4 linked regions of the Macaca mulatta genome follow. The protein of the gene in region 4 interacts with the protein of the main gene of each other region in a biochemical or structural test. Links are inferred from orthologs where the notes say so. Each region holds a gene or a part of one and is shown on either strand. Other genes may lie near its edges.

What was found. The genes of interacting proteins can lie anywhere in the genome.
Region 1: the proteins of TNKS (region 4) and AXIN1 form a complex in vitro, tested with the Homo sapiens proteins (2 studies listed by BioGRID). The link is inferred for Macaca mulatta from reciprocal best matches to the Homo sapiens genes TNKS and AXIN1.
Region 2: the proteins of TNKS (region 4) and RNF146 form a complex in vitro, tested with the Homo sapiens proteins (3 studies listed by BioGRID and IntAct, with this or other methods). The link is inferred for Macaca mulatta from reciprocal best matches to the Homo sapiens genes TNKS and RNF146.
Region 3: the proteins of TNKS (region 4) and TNKS1BP1 form a complex in vitro, tested with the Homo sapiens proteins (2 studies listed by BioGRID). The link is inferred for Macaca mulatta from reciprocal best matches to the Homo sapiens genes TNKS and TNKS1BP1.

What each region holds. Positions count from the first base shown.
Region 1 is NC_133425.1:1,567,056-1,571,065, forward strand, and holds the start of AXIN1 (axin-1), read right to left. Parts: upstream 2,801-4,010; 5' UTR 2,526-2,800; intron 2,410-2,525; exon of another isoform or gene 2,118-2,409; intron 2,065-2,117; exon of another isoform or gene 1,917-2,064; intron 1,889-1,916; 5' UTR 1,887-1,888; coding exon 1,809-1,886; intron 1-1,808. UniProt on the Homo sapiens protein: Component of the beta-catenin destruction complex required for regulating CTNNB1 levels through phosphorylation and ubiquitination, and modulating Wnt-signaling.
Region 2 is NC_133409.1:32,293,987-32,298,013, reverse strand, and holds RNF146 (E3 ubiquitin-protein ligase RNF146), read right to left. Parts: upstream 2,684-4,027; 5' UTR 2,615-2,683; intron 2,186-2,614; coding exon of another isoform or gene 2,185-2,185; coding exon 1,105-2,184; 3' UTR 501-1,104; downstream 1-500. UniProt on the Homo sapiens protein: E3 ubiquitin-protein ligase that specifically binds poly-ADP-ribosylated (PARsylated) proteins and mediates their ubiquitination and subsequent degradation. May regulate many important biological processes, such as cell survival and DNA damage response.
Region 3 is NC_133419.1:16,081,413-16,085,501, reverse strand, and holds the start of TNKS1BP1 (182 kDa tankyrase-1-binding protein), read right to left. Parts: upstream 2,801-4,089; 5' UTR 2,688-2,800; intron 265-2,687; exon of another isoform or gene 90-264; intron 1-89.
Region 4 is NC_133413.1:11,544,651-11,548,150, forward strand, and holds part of TNKS (poly [ADP-ribose] polymerase tankyrase-1), read right to left. Parts: intron 2,719-3,500; coding exon 2,553-2,718; intron 1,124-2,552; coding exon 904-1,123; intron 611-903; coding exon 501-610; intron 1-500.

The sequences.
Region 1 (4,010 bases), on a different chromosome or scaffold from region 4:
AAAAAAGACAGACATTTGTCACAGATGCCAAACACTGGCTCTCTACAGATGCTGAACTACTGTACTACAGAAAACAGCAGCAAATTCTTCCAAAACTAATGGGTTTTATTGTTTTGGTTTTTTTTGTTATTTTGAGACAGGGTCTCGCTCTGTCGCCCAGGCTGGAGTGCAGTGGGGCGAGTTCAGCTGACTGCAGCCTCAGCTTCCCAGGCTCAAGCAACTCTCCAGCCTCAGCCTCTCATATGGCGGGGACTACAAGCAGGAGCCACCAACGCCCGGCTAATTCTTGTATTTTTTGTAGAGATGGGGTTTCACCATGTTGGGCAGGCTGGTCTCAAACTCTTGAGCTCAAAGCAATCTGCCCATCTCGGCCTCCCAAAGTGTTGGGATTACAGGCCACCTTGCCTGGCCCCAAAACTAATGTTTTAATTCATGTGTGAACCAAGTCCACCTTAATTATTTTAAACTATTTTTCAGAGCCCAGGAGAAAATTTTTTTATAATCATGTGTATTTTGGGCTGTCAACTGACAGAAGACTTTTTGGTGTCCCTGGAAGCACATGAACCCCTCCACAAGTTACTGATGTTGTTAAAACATATCCCAATTCCTGAAATCTCTGGGTTTCCACATGGAAGCACACCAAGCATTTAGTGTACACACACGTAGACACCACACATAAAGCAGTTATGTTTACTCAGGTTAGCATCAAATGCCCGCAAGCACTGAATCTGGCCCACAGCCTGTAGCTACCATCAATAAAGTGAGTCCATAAAATGGGCAGGATGCCTACAAGTCTGATATCGTATTTAAAATTCCCTTTCATCACTGCTTAGGCATATGCCCCAGGCACCATGGCAGCAAACTCAGTGCTACCTACGTGTGTAGGTATTTATTTTACCCAAACTTAACTTTTGAAATTTTGATTTACATGGAGGATGCAAGTAAAACAGCACGACTCTGACATCTTCCCAGCTGTCCACTGATTTAACTCTTGAAGGTTCAGGGCTACTATTTCACATGTAATTTGTTCCCCCATCACTGAAATTCTCAGTGACTAATGTAATCCGAAAAAGTCTGCTTAGCTTTTCTGAAACTAGAAATCCAAGTCAACACCAGCTGAAAATCAAACAAAAACACTGTTTTTCATGCTTTCCCATCCTTGTCCCCGAATGGAGATCTTAAAACTGAAACTGAGGCCAGGTGTGGTGGCTGACCCTTGTAATCCCAGCACTTTGGGAGGCCGAGGTGGGCGGATCACCTGAGGTCAGGAGTTTGAGACCAGCCTGACCCACATGGAGAAACCCCAACTCTACTAAAAATACAAAATTAGTCAGGTTTGGTGGCACATGCCTATAATCCCAGCTACTTGGGAAGGCTGAAGCAGGAGAATCGCTTGAACCTGGGAGGCGGAGATTGCGGTGAGCAGAGATCGCACTATTGCACTGCACCCTTTATCAATTATCTTAGAAGGGGCCAGGCACGGTGGCTCACACCTGTAATCCCAACACTTTGGTAGGCCGAGGTGGGCGGATCACCTGAGGTCAGGAGTTCCAGGCCAGCCTGGTCAATACGGTGAAACCCCGTCTCTACTAAAAATAGAAAAATTAGCCGGGCGTGGTGGCGCATGCCTGTAATCCCAGCTACTCAGGAGGCTGAGGCAGGAAAACTGCTTGAACCCAGGAGGTGGAAGTTGCAGTGAGCCAAGATCGCGCCACTGCACTCCCAGCCTGGGCGACAGTGCGAGACTCCGTCTCAAAAAAAAAAAATTATCTTAGAGGGGGCGGTGGTCACGCATGTAGTCCCAGCACCTTGGCAGGTTGAGGCAGGTGGATCGCTTGAGGCCAAGAGTTCAACAACACTTGCTGGGCAATATAGTGACACCTCATCTCTACAAAAAAAAAAAAAAAAAAAATTACCTTATAGATGGGCTGAGAAAAATCCCTAGAGAACTGACATGTTTTTCTCTACTTTCTTCAATGCCAAGCCGAAAGTTTCACTGCTCAGGCAATGCAGCTCTGGTTTCACTGGGGGCTAAATTCCAAAGTGCCGGGCGGGAGGTAGAATCTAGGAACCACACCCAAGAGAGAGACGAGTGTTTGGGCAGCGAGGCATCAAACCTGGAGGGCACGAACGCCTGAGCACGCGGCTACTCAGGCCGCACCGCGACCTGGACCCGGTACGCGGCCTCGGCGAGGGCGGGCGGGAGTGCCCTCCTCCGGGGCAGCCGGACTCCTGCCGACTTCTGGGAGGCGGGGAGGGCTCCAGGCCCGGCTCTCCCGGAGTTCCCGCACGCGATGCGCGGCCCCTGCAGCTGCTCCGCGCCCCCAGACGCGCCCGAGGCCTCGGAACTCCAAGCGGCCCCCGCGCCGCCGGTCTCGCTGCCCAGGGACACCCCTGCCCCAGCTCCCCGCGCGCCCACCCCCTCGGCCCCACGCGCGTCAGCCACCCGCGCCCCCCGCCGCTTCCGGGTCCCGCCCGCCCGGCCTAGCGCGGCCTAGCCCGCCCCGGCGCCCGGCCCTACTCACCCGCGCGCGGAGGCGGCGGGGCCCCGGGCCCGGCTCCCGGAGCGGCGCGGCGCAGCCCGGCCCATGCGCTCAGCGGCAGCGCGGCGGGCGGGACTCGGCGGGGGCGCGGCCCGGGGCGGCCCCCATCTCGGCGGCTGCGGCTCGGCGGCCCGGGGGCGGACGCGGGGCAGGCCGCGGGGGCGCCGCAGGGGCCCAGCCGCCAGCTCCCACCCGCCCGCTCCGCGTGGACGCGGCTCCGGGTCGACTCCGGCCGGCTCTGGCGGCGGCAGCGGCCACGATTGCCTCCGGAGCCGGAGCCCGAGCCCAGAGCGCCGAAGCCCAGGCCCGAGCGCCCCCGCCGGCGGCGCCCGGAAGTGCGGGGGCGGGGCCGGGGCGCGGGGACGAGGTGAGAGCGCGGGGCGGGGCCTCAGCTCGGGGCGGGGCCGACAGCGAGGGGACGAGGTAAAGAGCGTGGGGCGGGGCTTCAGGCGCGGGGCGTGGCTGAAAGCGCGAGGATAAGGTGAGGAGCGTGGGGCGGGGCAGACAGCGATTGGACAGGTGAGGAGCGCAGGGCGGGGCCCAAGCACGGGCGGGGCCGGAAGCGAGAAGACGAGGTGAAGAGCGCAGGGCGGGGCCTTGGGAGTGGGGCTGCGGCCAGGGAGCAAGGCGGGGCCCGCCTCGAGCCGAAGAGGTAACGAGCGTGGGGCGGAGCCTCGTGCGCGGGGCGGGGCCGGAAGCGAGGACGAGGTGAGAAGCATGGGGCAGGGCCTCTGCGTGAGCGGGAGAGGGGTGTGGTCAGCCCCTGCCGGGGGCGGGGCGCGGCGGGGGCGTGGTCGCGCGGTCTTCCCGAGGGGCGACGCGGAAGCAGAGCCGCGGCGGCTGCGGCTTCCCGGAGTGCGGAGTGGGGGAGGCGCCGCTGCAGGTGCTTGGAATGGCTGCGACCGTGGGGAGCGCTGGGCGGACTGCCCGCCCCGACGGGCGCACGCGGGGCGCAGCCCTTTTCTGCCGCCAGTACATCGGTGGGCATCCAGGGGGCTGCAGGCCTCGGGGCTCCCTGCCCCGCCGGCCCTGGACCGGAGGCCCCCGCGGAGACCGCCACGGCCTGCCAGCCGCCGTGAGGGAAGCAGGCTCCCAGGAGTTGGGTGGTCGGCAGGCAGGGATGGCCAGGTCCCTTGGAAGGTGGCGTGGGCTCCACCCTCCTGAGTCCCCAGGCAGCCGGGACTCACAGCGCCAGGGAACACATTAGGCCCCAATATGTGCTGGCTGTCACCCGGACAGGAGCCACAACCTCCAAGGAGCCCACCGGCTAGGACCCTCTGCCTTGATTTCTCCCAGGCACCATCTAGTATCAGAGAAGGGTTCTCCTTCCCTCCGCTGCCCAGGCCAGCCTGAGAGGAAGGCCATTGGAGTGTCTGAAACCCTGCAGCCCCTCCCCTGGGCTGTCTCCACAGCGGCCCTGCCAAGGGGTGCAGTCCAATCCTGCCATCTTGGCTGCCCAGATCCGTG
Region 2 (4,027 bases), on a different chromosome or scaffold from region 4:
GGTAAATTCTAGATTACTGTGTCAACCTAATATTTTCTATTTGGCCATAGATGTAAAATCTACCAAATAAAAGTGGATTTTGTGGTCTACAACATTTTGTTTAAAGTGAATTCATGTCTGCTAACACTGTAAGTCTGCCATTTAATCCAGAGTGTTAGACTACTAATGAATATGGTAAGGAAAATATAAAATATTAATGGTATCTGCTTTAATTTTATTTCCATATATATTTATTATATACACACTGCCTATAGGTTCTGTTTAAATAATAATCTGTTAAATAAATAATCTCTTAAGAAAAAAAATCAGACTTTTCTGGGCAGGTGATTTAAAGCTGAAAACAACCAATTAAAACTACCACTTTTTAAGTGACCTTTGGTCACAAATGTCAAAATGTTTCCACACCCTTTCCACACTCAAACAAGAGACAAATTGTTTTTGATAAACTCTAGTATTTATTAAATTATAAATTTTGTAATCAAAAAGAAAAATGCTGACCAGAAAAACCTCAAACTATAAGACTAGACAGCAAAGCCTATGGGAACGCCATGAAGTGTGTTACAAACATTCTGAAACATAAGTTACTGGCTGTTTTCATTTCCGTATCAATAACTTTACTATAAAATAGTAGTTATTCATCTATTTTGAAATCCCAAATTCACATCTATTCTTACATTAAATTATGCTTCCTGCTCATAATATCAAACATCTCACAGGTGCCAAATTTTAGTAATGGTCTTATGCCAATCCATGCAGAAAAATAAGACACAATGCAGGAGTCAGATGAGGACCATTAATGCACAGATAATACAAACACACTGGCCAAAAGAACTACAGAAGTTTTTAAAAACTATAAAGTAAACAGACCTCGAGAAAACTGGGTTATTACTAAACAGCTCTCAACTATTAACACCCAAGTTCCTTACATTAAATAAATTTCTCAACAGAGACATGTTAGACATTTTGATTACGGGTCTATCCTTCCCATACCCCTTCCCACCCCAACTCCCAAAATGCACTACTAGGGATGAGTATAATGTTATGTGGGCAGAAATTTACAGGTAACCTTTTCAACCTTGAGCATGGAGCTGAAGACATTTTTATTTAAACTTCAGTTACTGTGCACTGTCCATCAGGCCTTCTAGATCTGACACTGACACTCACTGTTCCACCCCCTGCTACTGATCGATCAGTTCCCGATTGATCTGATCGATCGGATACTGTCTGGTTTGCATTAGAAACCAAAAGTCTCTGTTGGGTCAAGGAGTGCTGTGCAACAACTGCAGATGATACATTCTCACTATCACTACTGGCATCTGATTCAGTTTCTTCAATGGAGGTGTCTGGTGCTGGTACCCTGCCTGAAGATGGTGATTCATGATCTTCTTCTCCTTCTCCCCTATGACTCCTTTCAGCTATGCTGTCTCCACTGAGTTGTAAATGAGCAAAAGAGTCTTCCAGAGAAGTGCTTGCATCAGGGGATGGTGTTGCAGGGCTTGTTAACTGACCATCTACTGACGTTAGGGGCCTTACAGAAGACACTAGGGGCTGAACAGAAGCTCCACTCTGTGCTGATACACTGTCCGCTCCATCAGCAGAGCTCTCTCTTGCTAGGTTTACGGTATTAGCATCACAGTCTAGCCTAAGTCCAGCTACTCCCTTCTTTGGTATATCTATTATATCTCGCTTAATCTTCCTGCGACGTCCATGTTCATTTCTCCTATATTGAACCATGTTTTCAAGATCAGCGACATACAGAAAGCCAGCAATTAACATTTCAGTGTTCTTTTTACCTTTGGAAAAAGCATCTTCCAGCTCTCTACTAGTGCGCTCATCGTACTGCCACCACCCATTTCTTCCTTCATAATACCATGCATATTCACCATTTCCTCTACTTGCTGCCTTGAGTTCTTCTGGTGACAACAAGGTTGGCTTGTCAAGGAAATCCTCGGGAATTTCTTGTCGACAAAGAGCACACCGCTTTCCAAGCCATGAAGCTCCTTTTACACATAGATAGCAGAAAACGTGCTTACAGGGCAGACTGACTGGATGAACACATGTTTGCAGACAAATGGCACATTCAGGGACGGTTAAAGAAGGTGCAGTATTAGAACAGGACTCGTTTGCTTTCCTGTTTGTAGGAAGCATGTTTATTGAATGATCAATTTCACCACAGCCAGCCATCCTAAGAAAAAATACATAAAATATTAAAGTCATGTTTTAATTCTTGCAATATCTTAATTCAACAATTATGAAAATACTAACCACCTATTATGTGCATTATATGCAAGCCACATTCTAGACAATGGGGATATGAAGATGAAAGTAGAAGAAAAACTCTCCAACCAATGAAAACGTTTTATAAGCATTTACTTGTACATACTTTGGGAATGTATAAAAATTCCATCAGTGCACTTACAGATCGGCCCTGGAGAAACACACTGAAGAACTATATAATGAAAAGCTGCATCCAGTGGAGGGAAAAAGGATCATGGCAGCTATTATACAGTGAAATGAATGCTAGACAAGAAATCTAAAAATCTGAGTTTTAGAGTTCTTTATTAACTATGTGCTCTTAGGCATGCAGTTCAACCCTTAGTCTAAATTTCCTTACCTGCAAATCAGAGTTTACAAAGCTCAGGTAAAAATGAACAAAAAAAGTGCTTTGTAATCACTAAAGCTTCATAAAGGTAACAATCACATAAGACCAAGGGAGAAAATAACATGAATATTGAAGATGCCCTGAAGAGGAGGAAGAAAAAAGATTTGTCAAATTGGATGTATCCAGCTTAAACACTGACATAAAATTTATAATTTCTGCCTTGCTGATTCAGATAAACGTTTACCAAACACCTACCATGGTCTAGATACTAAGTACTGATGGGTCTAATGATAAATAAGACACTCAAGTACTCTGTTAAATAAGGAAACAAATATGCAGATAATTACAATATGGCCTGATTCCTGCATAATCAGAATGTATTAACATACTTACAAAAATAACAATGAGAGAGACAGAGATGAGAGGATGGACATAGGTTAGAAAGTTTAGTGTTCATTCAGAGGGGCCTGGGCAGTGGAGCAGATTCCAGGCAGAGGCATGTGCAAGACACTGAGTCAAATAGTCATACAAGCAATGGAAGAGCAGGAGATGAAGGTGTAAAGATAATCAAAAGCCAAGTCATGAAAGCCTTATTGTGCCCTGCTAAGGAAACATTTAATTTTTTTTTCCCCATAGTTAAAAAAAAAAAAAAAATTAAAAGGGGAGAAAATAATAGAGGGAGGAAACCACTGATAAGTAAAGAAGACTGAGAAATGAAGATGAAGATGTGAGAGATTAAAGCTTAAAATGCATGACAATCTTTGTGCCAGCTAATTCTGCCATTCTAAATGGGTCCAGTAGTTACAAAAGATATAGTCACTAACAATGCTTACGCTCATCAAAAATTGAAAAACAATAATCCTAGGCTATCATCACAGCACATCCAATCTTAAAACAATCCTTTTTTTTTTTTCTTTTTACAGCCTTTTCTGTGTTCTTGGTTCCTCAATAGACAAGGCTCAAAAAGATGGCAATTTTCTAGTAAAGGAAGCAACACATTAAGTTTTTAAAAAGATGGCACATATTTAGTAAAGGAAGCAACACAGTTTCAGTGGAAGAACTGATCACTAAAATGCTTAATTTCCAAATTATTTTCAACTTTTAATAACATTTCCAATCAATTCCTTTACCAAAAATTCTAGGTTATAGACATCAAGAAAGTACAACTTTTTCCTAACCTATGGAAAGTTCTAAGTCAGGGGTGTCTAATCTTTTGGTTTCCCTGGGCCACACTGGAAGAAAACGAATTGTCTTGGGCCACACATAAAATGCATTAACACTAATGATAGCTGATAAGCTAAAAAAAAAAAAAAAAAAATCACATAATGTTTTAAGAAAGCTTATGAATTTGTGTTGGGCTGCATTCAAAGCCACCCTGGGCCGCATGTCGCCCACAGGTTGGATAAGCTTGTTCTAAATAAACCC
Region 3 (4,089 bases), on a different chromosome or scaffold from region 4:
TTCTTATCTTCTAACCCCAAAGTCCTAGCGCTTCAGGGAGTCACTCACTGCTCCCTCCTCTGACAAACTCTCCAAGACACCCCACTTACAGTCCCCAGAGTGCCCCCTGAGTAGGACGGCCCCGCTGGAGGTGTCTACTCAAAGCAGAGCCAGAGAGTTGCAAAGTATGAAGACTCTGTGAATCACCTCACGGGAGACGGGAAAAACCCGCTCCTCCCCAACCTGGGCTCCGCCTCATTGCCTGCCTCCCCCTTCCCGCTCACCCTCCTTCCCTCTCTCCCTCCCTCCCAAAGCTGGGAGTGGTTCCTTCTCCCCCCTCTCCCTGTTCTCCCTCCACATCCCTGCCCCACTCTCCCCTCCCTCAGAGCTGTCTCATCCAAACACGGAAAAATAAGGAATAAAAAGTAAACATCTGGAATATATTTTTTTCTTTAATTTCTCAATCGCTTGGCTTCAGCTTGGAATTTGATGAGGTAAAGCCAGGGCCTAGTCCTGTTGCCATAGCAATGGCCTCCCACTGGATTTCCAGAGCCTAGCCAAGAGGAAGGAGGAGCCGGCCCAGGCCTGGGCTGGGAGAACGGGACAGGGCTTGAGAATATCCGGGGGGTGGAGTGACTTGGGGGAAAATTCCCTGGGGCTCCACCTTCCAAGAGAGTCAGGGCGGAACAGCCACAGCCTATGAAAAGGGGCTATGTGGGCTTCACTCACCAGCCTTGGGTTGGCTTTAAGGAGTTCTGAGGGGAACAGAAGAAATTAAACCAAGTGGCACAGCCCTGTGGTAGAAGCCTGCCACAGGAGCTTCAGGGTCTGATATACCAAGATTCAAGGCTGGATGGGTCTACCACTTTCTAGCCGTGTGACTTCTCTAAGCCTCAGTGTCTCCAACTGAAAAATGGGATTATTGAGACCCTGAGGGGGCTTACGTGATATAGTACATGAAAACTGCTTAGCACAATGACTAGTACATAATAAGGATTCAATAAATGTTGCCTATGATTACTGTGATTCCATTCAGTGTCACCAATGAGCTAATATCCTGATAAGCACCTCCTCCTCTTCCGTGACCCCAGGCTACCAGCATTCCCAGACCATTCCTTCACTCTCCCAGGCCCTAGTCCTGTCACCTGTTCTTCAGATACTCCACCACCTCCTCAGTTCCCATCCTGGCTCCTGAAGCACTCTCCCACCCACAAAAACATGGAGACCCTGGGGAATAGGGCCCTGCACCTCTCATGCAAGGGGGAAGTTTCCCTCACCCGGTGTGCAGAGCCCTGAGGACAACCCAACCCTCTCCAACCTGCAAGGGGCATTGCCTCACTTAAAACCACCCACTCCAGCTGGTCTGGGAAGACAGCACCAAATTCCAGTGCTCAACCTCTGCAAAATCCAACTCCTCTCCCCTAACGCTAACCCTGCCCCAGGGATTTCAAAGATGGGAAAGGGTATGAAGACAGCAGAGAAACCCAGTACTGTCAACCCACTGGTCAGTCAACCACCACGGAAGACTGCCCACTGTGGGTGTGTGAATAACTATGCAGAGCCAGGCCAAGTGTGGTGGGGGGAGGGGCACATGATAGAAAAAATAAAATTAAAACACAAGATTGTTTCCTTGTCCTTGAACATTATTACTAGGGACATAGTGTGGGTGGTTGGACATGGAAATGAATTGGCTCAGAATCAAAAAAATCCTTTCACCTGAGGTTCTGATGGGCCCCTCTGCGGTATGAGGGGCTGCAGCAATGAAGGCGGGCTCAGAGTCCCCAGGTGCGGAGGTGGCCACAGCAACTCAGAGACCCCAGCCAGGAGCCCCAGGTGAGCAAGGCCACCAAGGCTGTGGCCAGAAGCTGCAAAATCGCAGCGGATCCGAGCACTCCCCACCCCCAAAAGACCAGGAGGTAGAGGGTAGCGGGGTAGAGACGAACTGACCCCTGGCAGATAAGGCCTCCAGAAGGGCTGGGCAGCTCCAGCCCCGGAGGGGACTCGGCGCAGGCGGGGTCGCCCCTATGGACCGCAAGATCTCCAGCCGGATCGAAGGCTAGAGAGGTCGGCAGGGACAGCACGCAAACTGGTGGAAAGAGGGAGGGCCAACGGGAAGATGGAACAGCCCCGGGCAATGGGCTGTCTGGAGGGGCCCAGTGGGGAGCTCTGGACACAGAAGGGACAGCGGCAGCCGAAGAGGAGGAGGAGAAGAGGATGGAGGAGGAGGAGGGGACGGCGGTGGCGGCAGAAGCGGAGGACCTGTGAGCGGGCTGTGAAGCAGCCGGCGAACAGACGGTGGGCTGCAGACGTCGATCAGGTGGGGGCGGACTGGGGTGGCTGGGGGCGTGCCGAAGGAGCCGGGGGAGGGGGCTAGCGCGGCCCAGGGGAAGGGGAGGCAGGGGTCCCTCCAGCGGCTCTGCCCGCCCCCGGCCCCGCCCCAAGCCCTCGCCCCCTCCCCCCTTTCTTCTGGCTCCGCCAGCACGAGCTCCAGACCATGCGCCCTCCGCCCCCGCGCACACGCGCCAGCTTCCCCCGGGCCTCCAGCGTCCCCAGCGCCCCCGGCCCCTGCAAACTTTCCTGGTGACCCCCTCACCGCCACCACCTCAACCCGAGGTCTCGGCTGGAAAGCGCCCACTCCTTCCATGCCCCTCCCCCGCCCCATCCCGGACCCCGCCCCCTCCTTCGCCCGCCCGCCCCCGCGCACTCACGCGCTCGCCCGGGATCCGGCTCCGCTCGGCTCGGCGCCCCGACGCCAGTCCCCGCCGCCGCCGCCGCTGCTACCGCCGCCGCCGCCGCCGTCACCGCGGGACGAAGCCACTGTGAGCCCCGGCGGGGCCCCGCCCCTAGCTCCGCCCAGGCCCACGCCCCCAGGGCGCTCATGAATATGCATGAGCCGGTGGAACCCGGGAGTTGGAAGCCCGTGCAGAATTCGTCCCACCGTCGGCAAACAGGCGCGGCCCAGTACTCAATTATTCATGAGGCTTGCAGATGAGGGGCCCGCCCCAGGCTCAGACCGGGGCGAAACTGACGCAATTCAGCCGGGGGCGCTCGGGTAAAATGGACACCGAGACGACTGCCTAGAGAGACTGCCTTGGCGGCCCCTCCCGGGCCCCGCCGCCTGCACGGAGTGCAGTACCATCGAGCTACGCCGGCAAGAAGGTAGCAGCCGGCGGACTGGAGCGGCTTCCTGGTACAGCCACCTGAGTGCTGAGAACGCGCGCAACGTGGCCACCCCTCCTGTGTCAATTCAGATTTAGAGCCACGGTGAGGAAGTCTGGCAGCTCTGCTTTCCTCAGTAGTGACCTTTATCTCCTTTCAGGCCCCGTCTCAGACGTGGGTTCCTCCCTACACTGAAGTTTGTATCCCCCCTTCTTCCCGTAAGAACAAAAGCTGCACATATACTCCGTACTTTTCTTGCACCCCCCCACCAGGCTGCAACCACCACCACCCTACACACACGCTCATCCTCCCCGACTCTCCAGGCTCACGTTTCCACTCCCCCGGCTGCGGGAAGGACAGTCAATCCTGATTTCATTATCTAAAGCCTTGGAAGACCCTTGACTCATAGGTAAGGATGGGGCCAAGAGCTGCCTCCCCCTAGCTTGGTTGGCTAATGGAGTGTAACCGGGAGAGACTTCCTAATCACATCAGCTCTCATTTCTAGATTCTCAGGTGGCCCAACCGGGCAGAGGCGGGTGAAAACCAATGCTTCTCCAGCCGGGAACAGAACAGGATGTGCCTCGAGACTTGCTTCCCGGCTGGCCAGGCTCTGCCTAGTCTGACCAGGGCAGTAACCACCACCAGTAAAAGTAGGAGCAACAAACCAGGGCTACAAAGAAAGCATAAAGACATGGTTTCCAAAGTCAGTTCCCTTTATTAAATCATTTTCACAGACCAGAAATACAAAATAAAAGTAGAAATAGGCCCCAGGTAGGAGCTACAGGCCTGGCCTCACATGACCCCTGCTCCAGCAACTTGAACAGGACCAGCAGCAGCTACATCCTTAATTAAGGTCGGGAAAGTAAGATGAGGATTTTGATCCTGCATTGCCCTGCCTCCCACCCTCTCTCTCCCCAAATTATAAACAGCCATCCTTGGGAAGCAACAGAG
Region 4 (3,500 bases):
TTGTTGGCCAAAAGGTAGTTAAGTTTAGCTGGGAAGAAACGCCAAAACTCTGAACAAAAGATTAAAATTGTGCTAAATCATGCTATTAGTTAGATATCTACTCACTTAACGCATAGTATGCATTTAACAAAGTCGTAAATGCCAGGGAAGTTTTCTAGATTTTATTTTATTTTATTTATTTATTTTTGAGATGGAGTCTTGATCTGTGGCTCAGGCTGGAGTGCAGTGGCACAATCTCAGCTCACTGCAAGCTCCGCCTCCCAGGTTCACACCATTCTCCTGCCACAGCCTCCCGAGTAGCTGGGACTGCAGGCGCCTGCCACTATGCCTGGCCAATTTTTTGTATTTTTAGTAGAGACGGGGTTTCACCGTGTTAGCCAGGATGGTCTTGATCTCCTGACCTCATGATCCGCCCGCCTTGGCCTCCCAAAGTGCTGGGATTACAGGCGTGAGCCACCATGCCTGGCCAGTTTTCTAGCTTTCAACGTTAGTATGCTTACCCCATAAGATGCCGCATTATGAAGAGGAATTAAACCACCCTTGTCCTGGGCATTAACATCAGCTCCATGCTCTAGAAGATATTCAGCTACTTCCAGGTTATTGTAGCCTGCTATTTAGAGTAAAAAAAATACAGGAAACGTGTCAGCTTAAAAGAAAACAAATACATACATATAAAATAAGGACCAGAAAATGTTAAGGTTTTAATACTTTTTGCTTCAAAAGTTAATACTATTATCTCATAATGGAGGGACTTCACAATAAGAAATTATACAAAACTATGTCAATCAACAGCATTTTACTAAGTAGTCCCATTTATGTTCAGCATGGCTTTCATCTTTTAGTACACTGTATCAGGTGTCCGAGAAAGGAAAAGGAGGCGTGGAGGCACTGGGGGGCGCTCACCTGCCAAGTGCAGAGGGGTTGAATTTCTGCCCTGGGTGTCTCTGCAGTTGATATTTTCGGGGGTACAGAGCTTCTGCACTCTTGCCAGGCAGCCCTTCTTGGCAGCATCCAACAAGGCAGCATCCCCTCTCAGTAAGTCCTGAATATCTGTGTCTCCTTCTTTTACCAAATCCAAAGGTGTATTTCCATCTCTGTTCTTTTTAGTTGGATCTGCCCCATGCTACAAAGAAGAAAAACCAAATGGGGTTTGTATTTTCTATAGTATCTTTCTGTAGTAAGTAGGTAGGTAGGTAGGTAGGTACTTAATTTACTCTACCTTTGTTCCTCCAGGGGAAGGTATCTATGCTATATGCATTTTGAAAAACACTTTGCAAAATTCCTACTTAGCAATATAATGGATCAGCTTTCTAACTATTAATACTACTCAGTAAAAGCTTCAGGATCAATGGTGATGATAAAGTAGGGAGACTGTTAAGTATCTTTGAGATAACTTGTTTAATATACTTTTTCTCTGATTCCAAGTTGTCTTTGGAAACCTATTTTACTTTGAAGAATAGCATGGATGTTAATTTTGACCAGATTCAATTACATAAAGATACTCAGTAGGTATGAAAAAGAAGAGAGTAAGACACGCTGGTAAAAAAGGACTTAATTCTAAAGGCCATCTTTAGATAAAGTTTGGTAATATTTTTAATATTTTTATCCTAAGTCTTAACATCTACCATGAAATTAGATATAAAGGTATTAAAATTAGAGATTTTAAAAGTTTAATTACCAATATCTATTAAATAAAGTAAATAGAAGTCAGTAATTTTTATTATAGGTTGGCCACAAACTGTAGTGGGCTCACTGAGGAAATTAGTTGTAAGTCAAGTTGGACAATGGATTCACAATGACTTGGAAGTTATTTCTTACCAACCAGTGATAATAAAAATGAGTATCAGATACTGTGTTTTTCTCAAGATTCATAAGAACATATTTGATATCATAAAAGTGAAGGGAGAAGAATTTTATTTAAACACATCAATTTTTTTTTTCTGTAGTTAAAAAAAAGCAAGAGAAAATCTCATAAATACACATCTGGTCATTTTTTAAAAATATACTTTAACTTAAAGTGAGCATAAATTATAGTTAGTTTCATATAACTACTAGTTTTTACTCTTTTACATGTATCTCAAATCTATATGAACAACTTTGTCTAGAGATTATCTTATATTTTAATAAAAATCTGTTATTAAAATAAGTTCTTAAAAGATAAAATGTTTAATGTTTACTAATGAAGAATGAGTTAGTTAACAATAATAAAATAGCCAACAAGGAAAAAAAAACCAACTAGATTGAAAAGCTTGTTTCTCCTGTACAATTTTTTCTGTTATTAATACTATAAGTACTAGATAAGCAATGCAAACTATTTCAGCTCTTTGTAAAACCTACTTTGATGAATTTTTATGACATGGACTTAATCAAACCATTTCAGATATTAAGCTATGTATCGTACCACATAAACAGTCTTCGGGGAAATAGAAAATGAGAGCAGTCTTTACAGCAGTATTGTTCTTAATAGAATAACATACCCCAACTTACTTTCAAGTAACAACCAAAATATAAATACAATTAGTCTATATTTCATAACTTTTTAAACTACATACTTTTAAAAGGAGCTTGCAGATTTCATACTTTCCTTTAGCTGCTGCTTCATGGAGAGGGGTAAATTTCCATAAGTCCGCCACATTGACAGAAGCCCCATGCCTTACTAAAAGCTCAGCCACCTCATAGTGTCCATATGAACAGGCATTATGAAGGGGCACCAAGCCACTAAGCAAAAGAAAATTATTTTAAAGTTATAAAACAAATCTTTGAGTTAAAATGATTCTTATAATAAAAATACTACCATTCTTCTACGGTACTGACTATACTGAACACTGCTCAAAAAGAAATACACCCACCTCTGTTCTTTAAGATATAGTTATCCATTTGTAAATAAGGAGTAGTAATTTCAAAAATGTCCTTTCAATGTAAAGACTTTTTCCTAAGTTTCTTGGGGATGGATATATACTCACAGCAATCCTTATCTTTATGAGTTTTACTAATGAAAACTGTATGCTTACTTATAAAAAATATAATGCAATTAACTTATTTAGGCAAGTTCTATCTTGGTAAAAAGTTGTTTAAATCATAGTGGTGATTGAATCATAGTGGTTTAATCATAGTGGTGATTCAGTGGTGACTTCCGTGCAGAGGTTTAAATACTGAGGTACCAAACAATGAAAATTCACAATCCAGGTAATTCAGAAAAGTATTCAGTGAGAAAAATGATGATGTCAACTGTAAGTGCTACTCAGATAAGAAACGGGCAAACTATTCTGAGAGGAGTCTAAGCTCTGATCAGTAAGCAGTTGACATTCTAAAAGGACAAAAAGATGCTCCCACAAAAGAGTGCATCAAAAGAACAAAATGTCGAACTTAACACATGGCAGAAGCAAAGTATTGAGTGCATTTTTTTTTTTTTTTAGTTTTGGGATGAAATATGCTAAGTGTTAAAATGAGCAATAGAAGCAAATGCTGCTTGCTCTCCAATACACTGTAACACTTTGAAA